Cricetulus griseus: one gene and its partner. The protein of the gene in region 1 purifies or fractionates together with the protein of each later gene. This does not show direct contact. Links are inferred from orthologs where the notes say so. Each region holds a gene or a part of one and is shown in the gene's direction. Other genes may lie near its edges.

The links.
Region 2: the proteins of Dcaf10 (region 1) and Cul4a purify together in Homo sapiens (affinity purification with mass spectrometry; 4 studies listed by BioGRID and IntAct, with this or other methods). This does not show direct contact. The link is inferred for Cricetulus griseus from reciprocal best matches to the Homo sapiens genes DCAF10 and CUL4A.

The regions. Positions count from the first base shown.
Region 1 is NC_048595.1:98,108,558-98,113,366, reverse strand, and holds the start of Dcaf10 (DDB1- and CUL4-associated factor 10), read left to right. Parts: upstream 1-1,850; 5' UTR 1,851-1,931; coding exon 1,932-2,482; intron 2,483-4,809. UniProt on the Homo sapiens protein: May function as a substrate receptor for CUL4-DDB1 E3 ubiquitin-protein ligase complex.
Region 2 is NW_023276807.1:67,647,497-67,651,661, reverse strand, and holds part of Cul4a (cullin-4A), read left to right. Parts: intron 1-1,060; coding exon 1,061-1,179; intron 1,180-3,285; coding exon 3,286-3,478; intron 3,479-4,165. UniProt on the Homo sapiens protein: Core component of multiple cullin-RING-based E3 ubiquitin-protein ligase complexes which mediate the ubiquitination of target proteins. As a scaffold protein may contribute to catalysis through positioning of the substrate and the ubiquitin-conjugating enzyme.

The DNA.
Region 1 (4,809 bases):
CCTGATGAAGTCCCTGCATGACCAGGGACATGTTATACTTGGGGCTTGGGAACATAGTTCAGAAAACCTTTGTTGATTATTTCCATTGTGATCCAAAAGGACTAAGGCAAAGGAGTTCGGATGATGCTTTAAATGTGAGTAGACATCTAATTAAATTTTCGATACTAAGGTTGAAAATTTTTTAGCTTTCCACAAGGTATTATTACCTAGAAGTTGGTCAATATAGACTGATTTGAAGTCAGTTCTTTATTAATATGGTTGAATGTATAGATTCTCAAAGGTGGGTACAACAGGAACAGTGAAAAGCTAAATTTTAGTTCTATTTTTAGTGCCCTCTCAATTTTTTTTTACTCATGTTATAGAGTTTTAGTCTTACATAATATACTCTTTTAGGCTTTAGTAAAAATATTTGGAATAAATGAGTATTCACATATTAAATACAAATGTTTTAAAAACCAGGCATTAGTAAATTACTTATTCTCCGTGTTGCCACTCTTGCCTTAATTTGTATCAGTGTTTTGTCTTGTCTTCTCTACAGTACTAGGGGTTACAGTCAGGGCTACACACATGCTAGGTGAGTGTACCACCACTGAACCATCGCCTCAACCCAGTGAACAACTCTTAAATGGTTTTGGAACCTTGGTATGTTTTTCATGTTGAATTCCTGAACTGTGAAGTATGATTATCTGGAGCCAATACAAACTAAATGGAGACTTACTGATTTTTCTGCTGAAAGTTCAACCATTAACTATCTAATTACCATTCTCCAGACGATTTGCAGGTCTATCTTCACAGTCTAGATCGTCCTCCAGATTTACCATCACAGTTACCAGATGTGAACCTCCTAATACACTGCCCTTAAGAAGACCTAGACAAAGCAGGGCGTTGGTGGTGCATGCCTTTAATCCCAGCACTTAGGAGGCAGAGGCAGGCAGATCTCTGAGTTGGAGACCAGCCTGATCTACAAGAGCTAGTTCCAGGACAGCCTCCAAAGCCACAGAGAAACCCTGTCTCGGGGAAAAAAAAAAAAAAAGAAGAAGACCTAGACAATTTGTCAGTTCTTATATCTATCTGCTGTTCCTCTTACCTCAAGCTCTCCTCTTTGAGGACTAAAGATTCCCTGCACTGAAAACTTTCATTCCCGGTTAATGCTTTCCCTGAAAACAGGTTTATTTGCCCTTAGCAGCAGCAGAGAAAGGCCTATCCTTGGGGGTCCTTAGTGCAGTGCTCAGCAGATGCATTATGAGCAAGGCTGACTGACATTAGGCTCTTGCTTTGTGGGGTTGAATTGATTCAGCCCTCCAGCTCCCCTCAGTTACTTACTCCTCACTGCACGTACGTCCTTTTTGCAGGGAAGAAAAGAAAAAGAAGGCTCTGAAATAGATAAAGATATACCTGACTGTGCAGTAGCCGAGATTTGGGCAGAGATTTATGGCACCGATAGTTTCCTTTACTCCAGGCACTATACAGTCCAGTGATTTTTCACGTGCAAATGCTCTTGAATCTTTAGACTTCTAAGCTGATAGGCAGTACGCCATGAGATTTACTGTGTGACCTACATATAATACAGTAAAACACCCACCCCTTCACCCCGCCCAATCTCGGTGTAAGGACAACAGTAGGTAATCCTGGTTGGTCAGGCTCACTGACAGCTGCGAGCGGACTGTCAGCGCTTGTAGCTGGTCTTATGCGTCCGACATTGCTCACAGAGGGCTACTAGCTCTTGACCTCACAGTCCTCTTGGCCTGGGGTGCTCCCGATTCAGCGGTGTCCTTGATTTTAGGTCCCCGACGGAGGGCAGCCTAGCGGTGACGCGGGTTTCCCAGCCGGCGAGTTTAGGACGCGGCACCCGGAAGTGGCGGCTGGAGCGGGAGCGCTGAGTTGTCGGGCGGCGGGACAGCGGCCCGGAATAGGGGGCGGGGGCGTTGGTCATGTTTCCCTTCGGGCCCCACAGCCCGGGCGGGGACGGGGCGGCTGGAGCTGAGGAGCGGCCGCCTCTCGGAGGGCCGGCGGCAGCTTCCAGACCGCCCTCTCCAGCTCCGCGGCCGGCGCCTCCAAGGCAGGGAGCTGACGCGGCCCCTCCCCCGCCGGCAGCCCGGAGCCCTCGCCTCCCGGGCGGCCCCGCACTGTCCCCGGCCGAGTGCGCCGGAGAGCTCGCGGCCCCCGGAGCTCTGGAGTTGTCCGCTGCTGCAGCGCAGGCAGAGCTGTCACCGTCCTCCTCGCCGCGCAGGCGCTCGAGGCCAGACTGCAGGGCAGGCAACCGGAGCCGGCAGGGCCTCAGCGCGGGCCTCAGCGGCCCTGGCGCCAGACTGTTCGGCTGGCTGAGAGAACGAAGCCTCGGCCGCGGGCTGTTCGTGGACCCGGCGCGGGACAATTTCCGCACGATGACTAACCTGTATGGTTCCATCCACCCCGCAGACTCCGTGTACCTCAGCACCCGCACCCACGGTGCTGTCTTCAACCTCGAGTATTCGCCCGACGGGTAAGCAAGCGCCTGCGCCTCAGCTGGCTCCCTCGGTTCAGGGCGGCTTGTGGCCGTGCCCCTGGTACTTTCAGAAGCACTTTGTCTGTCGCCTATGAGCTCCGTGCTGGCCTTCTGAGGTAGGCAGGCCCAGTGCTTCCCTTCGGGGTCCTGGAGGCTCGGTGAAAGAGAAATGCCTTAAGCCATCGCTGCACGTCTGCCAGAGCCGGTCCACAAGTAGGACTTTCTGGTACGCAGTAGGTGCTCACTAAATGTCCTTTAAATAATGCCCACCGTTTCGCTGTTTTCCTCGGTTGGCCCTTCTCTGAGCTGAGCTTGTGTTAAAATGTTCAAAGAGGAAGCTCGCAGCATCTTTGGACTTTGTGCCAGATCCTGCCTTGAGAAGACATTCGGAAGCTCTAGAAAGATACTAAGACACTGCAGAAATACGTTTCTCAGTATTTGGGCCATTTGTGGGATAGGCTAATGCTTGGGTTAAGGAATGCAGCTTTTGTTTTGCTTTGTTTTGTTTTTGACTGACATTTGTTTACTCTTGGTTTACTTCAAGCTATAGGAAAATTTCAAAACTAACCGGTGTCTAATACTTTATCTCGTGAGTGCACAAGTTCAACAAGCAGAGGAAAAACACTGCTCATGGTTTTACCTCAAATGACATAATAGCATCCTTATCACATCGGGCCTCAGGGTTGCTAGTCTTTGCTTCGTTAATTCATTCATTCATTCATTCATTCATTCATTCATTCATTCATTCCCCCATTAACCAGATGCTCCTGGAACACTTAATAGGTTGCAAATGCATGGATAGCAGTGGTTCGTAAAACTATTTAATGACATTCCTTTTACCGAGCCTGGCTCTATTAGTTCAATTGGATATGAGATTCCAAGTAATGCACAGTGTACACCAGCAAACTGAGATAAAGGCGTAAAGCCCGCAGAGCTCGGTTACCCTGAAAAAGTGACACCTAGATCAAGATTAGAAAAAACATTGCAGGAGATAAACGAATCAAGACTGCTGGGTAAAGAATAGATGTATTTCGTAAGAATGTGAACTCATGCTGAAGGGCAATATTAGCATATAATGTTAAAGGAAATGGAAATAGGGCTGGAGAGATGGTTCAGGGGTTAAGAGCACTGGCTACTCTTCCAGAGGACCTGGGTTCAATTCCCAGCAGCCACATGGTGGCTCACAACCATCTATAATGAGATTTGGTGTAAACATGCCAGAACACTGTATACATAATAAATCTTAAAAAAAAAAGAGCCCCTAATGCAATTCCCACCCTTGGACCATTAAAAAAAAAAAGAAATGGAAATAATGAAACAAAAAAAAATTTATAGCGAGAAAGACCTAGAATATGCTGAGAAAGAAGCATTGGAACACAGTTACTGAGCAAGTAAAACCTGTTGTGGCTCATTGACCTCAGTGCTTCTTTCTAATTATACCTGGTACTAGAATCTCTAGTTATGGTAGTTGGCTGGATTATTATCAGTGGGTGCATACCTGAATTCAAAAGCAAACTTTATTTAGCTGAAGCTTATTCATGGAAACTTCTTCTTTTATATACTATTCTTAAAGCGTCTTCCTCTCCCCCAAATACTGTCTGTGCTTCTCTTTTCTGTAGCTCAACCCCTCTTTTACCAAACCCTATACTTTCAAGATTTAAGAAGTACTGTGTTACTAGGTGTGGTGGTGCACACCTGTAATCCCAGCACTCAGGAGGCAGAGGCAGGTGGATCTCTGAGTCTAAGGACAGTCAGGGCTACACAGAGAAACCCTGTTGGGGGGGGGGGGATGTAGTAGTTGTGCCAATTCTCTGGAGGTAGAATTTTTAAATAGGAAATGGTGATTCTAGAATTATGAAAAATTTAATTCAAATTGCCAGGACTGTTAGAATGAGGTCTATATTACGTATAGTTCTTATTTGAATAAGACTTCATTCTCGCAGGGAAATTTATTTATTTTTCTGTTCATCTATCTATCTATCTATCTATCTATCTATCTATCTAGATCTCTAGTCTCTCATAGTAGCACTGGTTGCCTTGATACTCACTTTGTAAACCAGGCAGGTCTTGAAGTCACAGAGATCCACTTCCCTCTGCCTTCCAAGTGCTAGCACTAAAGGAATCACATATTCATACAGGTTTCTGTGCATTCCATGACTTACATGTGAAGGCACTTGTATGGAGGTCAGAGGACAACCTGTAGGAGTCATTCTTTTCTTCCACCATGTGGGTCCCAGGGATGGAACTCGGATCTCAGCCTTGGTGGATCTCTACCCATGCAGTCATCTCTCCAGCCCCAGAGCTTTTTTTTTTTTTTTTTTTAA
Region 2 (4,165 bases), on another chromosome or scaffold:
GCCAAGTGGAGACACCTGTCTACACGTCTACAGGTGGCCTCACTGGTGCCCTCTTTGGGCCTCTGCAGGCACTGCACAAACATGGTGCATGTACTTACAGGCAAAATGCTCATGAATATGAAATAATAAAATTATAAAACTTAAATAGCTGAATAAAAATTCTAAAATTCCATATTGAATACATAAGACATCTGATAAATACTTATTTGTCTTACACTTTATTATTTGAATCAACCAACTAGAAACTTAAATTTAGAATCAATTACAGTTTATATATTTTTTATGTGTATGAGTGTTTAGCTTGTATATATGTATATGCACCATATGTATGCAATGCCTACAGTGTTCAGAAGAGAGTAGAGGTCAGAAGAGAGCATCAGATATCCTAGAAGTGGACTTAGAGATGGTTGTGAGCCACCATGTGGACTGGAAGCCAAGCCTGAGTCCTCTGCAAGAACAGCAAGTACTTTTACCTGCTGAGCCATCTCCATCTCTCCAGCACCTAAACCCATCTTTTAACAAATGTTTTTTTCTGACTAATAGACAAAACTTCAAATGATAATTTGCATTGTAAATTTCTCAGGGCAAATACTCGCCTAAAGTTTTTGTTGTTGTTGTTGTTGTTTTGTTTTTTGTTTTTTGTTTTTTTCCCAAGACAGGGTTTCTCTGTGTAACAGTCCTGGCTGTCCTAAAACTCACTCTGTAGACCAGGCTGGCCTTGAACTCACAGAGCTCTGTCTGCTTCTGTCTCCTGAGTGCTGGGATTAAAGACATGCACCACCACCACTTAGCTCTAAATATTTTTTGACTCGTTACTTTTGTTAAATAATGGCTTTAGTGAAATGAGAAAATAAATAATACATTCACAATGCACTCAGAAAAATGAGATTCACCTATATGAGCCACCTCAGGTAGGCTACTGGACAGGCATGCCTCCATAGCAGGTATGTGCTCCAGGTCTGCAAGCCATGTCCTGACTGTGTGGTGTGGATGATACTGTTTCCACTCACGAATGCTGCTGCTTCCTGCTATGACTTGTTCTTCTTCTACACACTACTAGGGCTGGACCACCTGCTGGATGAGAATAGGGTGCCTGACCTCACACAGATGTACCAGCTGTTCAGCCGGGTGAAAGGAGGACAGCATGCTCTACTGCAGCACTGGAGTGAATACATCAAGGTATACACTGGTGCTTGCATGCTGTACCCTGCAGAGGGAAATGAGCTACTGCTAGGGATCATCTGCTTTCCCATCTTCCAGATCACCTAATGAATGCTTTCTCTTGAGCAAAATCTGCTCTTCTATGATGACACCAACAGTGATGGCCACTGTTTGGGTGGACACCTGCAGTGTAGTGACAACAGCTGTGCATCCATCTATGTAAACATTTGTTTCTGCTACAGCAGCAGCCTCTGGTGTGTCTGCTCATCAGGCATGAATGCTGGTGGTCATGCCAGAGGAGCAGCAGGTGGCAGTGACTTCAGAGTGTCAGCCCACCAGGAGGAAAATCCCTGATTGTGGATCTCGGATAGGCAAGGCCCCAAGATCTCAGACCCCAGAGTGTCTTTTGCTTCTTCTGTGCCTTCACATGGTTGCTGCTGCCATCTTTCTCTGGTATATGGATGGTGTGAATGGGTGTGAGGAGATCCCCACTGCCTGTAACATTGTGTGTTTATCTCATGGAAACGTGTTACTCTACTGGGCATTTTTACCTGTGGATTACTGTGAAAATGAAGTTTTCCTAAGATGTACTGTCTAATTGATAATAATATTAGTTTAAATAGAGTTTGGGTGATATAAAACAAACAAGTGTCACACAGCTAGAGCAAATGGATTTCTACTGAGGAGCAGTAAACTCTGTGACTTAGGTTAATGATTAAGAAAAGCAATTAATTTCCAGTAGACCAGCTAGCTTAAATTCTATTAACCTTTATGTTAGGAGATGTGTTCACAGGTTTTGGAGTACATCATAGCTGAAACAAAGCTTTGAAAATGACTTAAAAGTTAGACTAAGCTGTTCTAGTCAAATAACTTTGAGGTGAAAAACCCAAGAAGACAATCTGAAGTTTTAGAAAGACACATAGCTAAATGAGGAACAATTCATTAAGGTCAGAGAACAAGAACAAAGCAGCCCAATTATCATTGGCTGACATACCTTTCTTGCTAGGATTGGTTGATGACCAAAGGTGATGATTAACTCCTTATACCCATTTCTGCCCTTAATCTCCTGATTAAAACAAAAACAACAAACTATTGATGAGTGGGCATGCACCCTCAAGATTTAAAGTAGAGCTGTCTGATTTTCTTTTTCATATATAAAAGTTTAGGTTTGTGAGTCCTTTAAGATTCTTTATAAGATTACCTTTCAAAGCCAGGTAGTGGTGGTGCATGCCTTTAATCCCAGCACTCGAGAGGCAGAGGCAGGAGAATCTCTATGAGTTCAAGGCCAGCTGGATCTACAAGAACTAGTTCTAGGACAGCTAGGGCTGTTATACAGAGAAACCCTATCTCAAAAAAAACCAAAAAAAAAAAAAAAAAAAAAGTTGCTTGAGTGTGAATGTACGTGAGTTCTTAGGATAATTTGTTTTTTACCTATAATGCAGTTTAATCATGTATGGAAAACATGCTGTTTCTTACTTGTATTCTTTGTAATCATTCACTTGAAAAATAGGGTATAACCACCACATTGTAACTTTTATATTGCCTGAAAATTTTTGCTGGGGTATATAAGCTATAAGGGAAAGAATAAAGACAGAATTAAAATGAATTAGAAGGAAGACATCAAGAATGAGAGAAGGAAATCACCAGGAAAATAAACAGACAATATGAAAGAAGAATAAAGAAAAGGTCTGAAGGAAACTGTCAAGAGTGAGAGTCTTTTTCCCTCGCCCCCTCAGATAAAAAAGTCATAGCATGCACTGACTCCCCAGGCAGCAGTAACCTCTGCTCACTGTGAACCGACACACACTGGCACAGCAGTTTGGTCTGCCTACTGCTGTGTTTCTAACTCCAATTTAAGACCTCAGTTCCTACCTCTTGTTTTCCAGGCCTTGTGTCCCTCACTTGTCAATACAGCACCACTCAGCATCTTCCAGGAGTGTTGCCTGGGGCTGATGCAGAACCTCTCTGAATGCCAGGCACCACCTGCTCATGGCCACATGGAGAGAGGGTGCTGCCAGTATCAAGTGGGAAAACAAGGCGCCTACCATTGTGTTGAGAGACAGCAAAAGATTCACTTTGGCTTCTTAAGCCTGTTGCTGACTTGGTTATTTCTTCTTTCTGTAGACCTTTGGGACAACCATTGTCATCAATCCCGAGAAAGATAAAGACATGGTCCAAGACCTGCTGGACTTTAAGGACAAAGTAGACCACGTGGTAGAGGTGTGCTTCCAGAGGAATGAGCGTTTTATCAACCTGATGAAAGAATCCTTCGAGACGTTCATCAACAAAAGACCAAACAAGCCGGCAGAGCTCATCGGTAGTGAAACAGTTCTAGATGCTTTTCCTTTTTACATTTAAAAAGATTTGTTTTATATTGTACACATGTGTTCCTGCTCAAGTGGAAGTCAAAGGGCTTTCAGGGGTCTTTGAGTCATATGGTTTTGGGGATTGAACTCAGCTTGACCGCAGGCATCTTTACCCACTGAGCCATCATTCTGGCCTTTTAGGTGCTTTTTAATTTTAAGAGTGAGTGCTAGGTACATGCCTTTAACCTGAGTATTCTCCATGTGGTGAGCAGGTGAGACCTCTCAATAGGGAAAAAAAAAAAAAAGGAAAATGAAAGCTAGACATGGTGGTGAACACACCTTTGATCCTAACACTTAGGAGGCAGAAGCGGGTGGACCTCTGAGTTTGAGGCCAGCCTGCTCTATGTAGAGAGTTGCAGGGTAGCCAGGGCTACATAATGAAACCCCATCTTAAAAGAACCACAAAAACAGGGGCTGGAGAGATGGCGCAGAGGTTAAGAGCACTGACTGCTCTTCCAGAGGTCCCGAGTTCAATTCCCAGCAACCACATGGTGGCTCACAACCATCCGTTATGAGATCTGGTGCCCTCTTCTCGTGTGCAGATATACATGGAAGCAGAATACTGTATACATAATAAATAAAATCTTAAAAAAAAAAAAAAAAACACAAAAACAAAGAAGTCAAAAACAAGAAGGAAG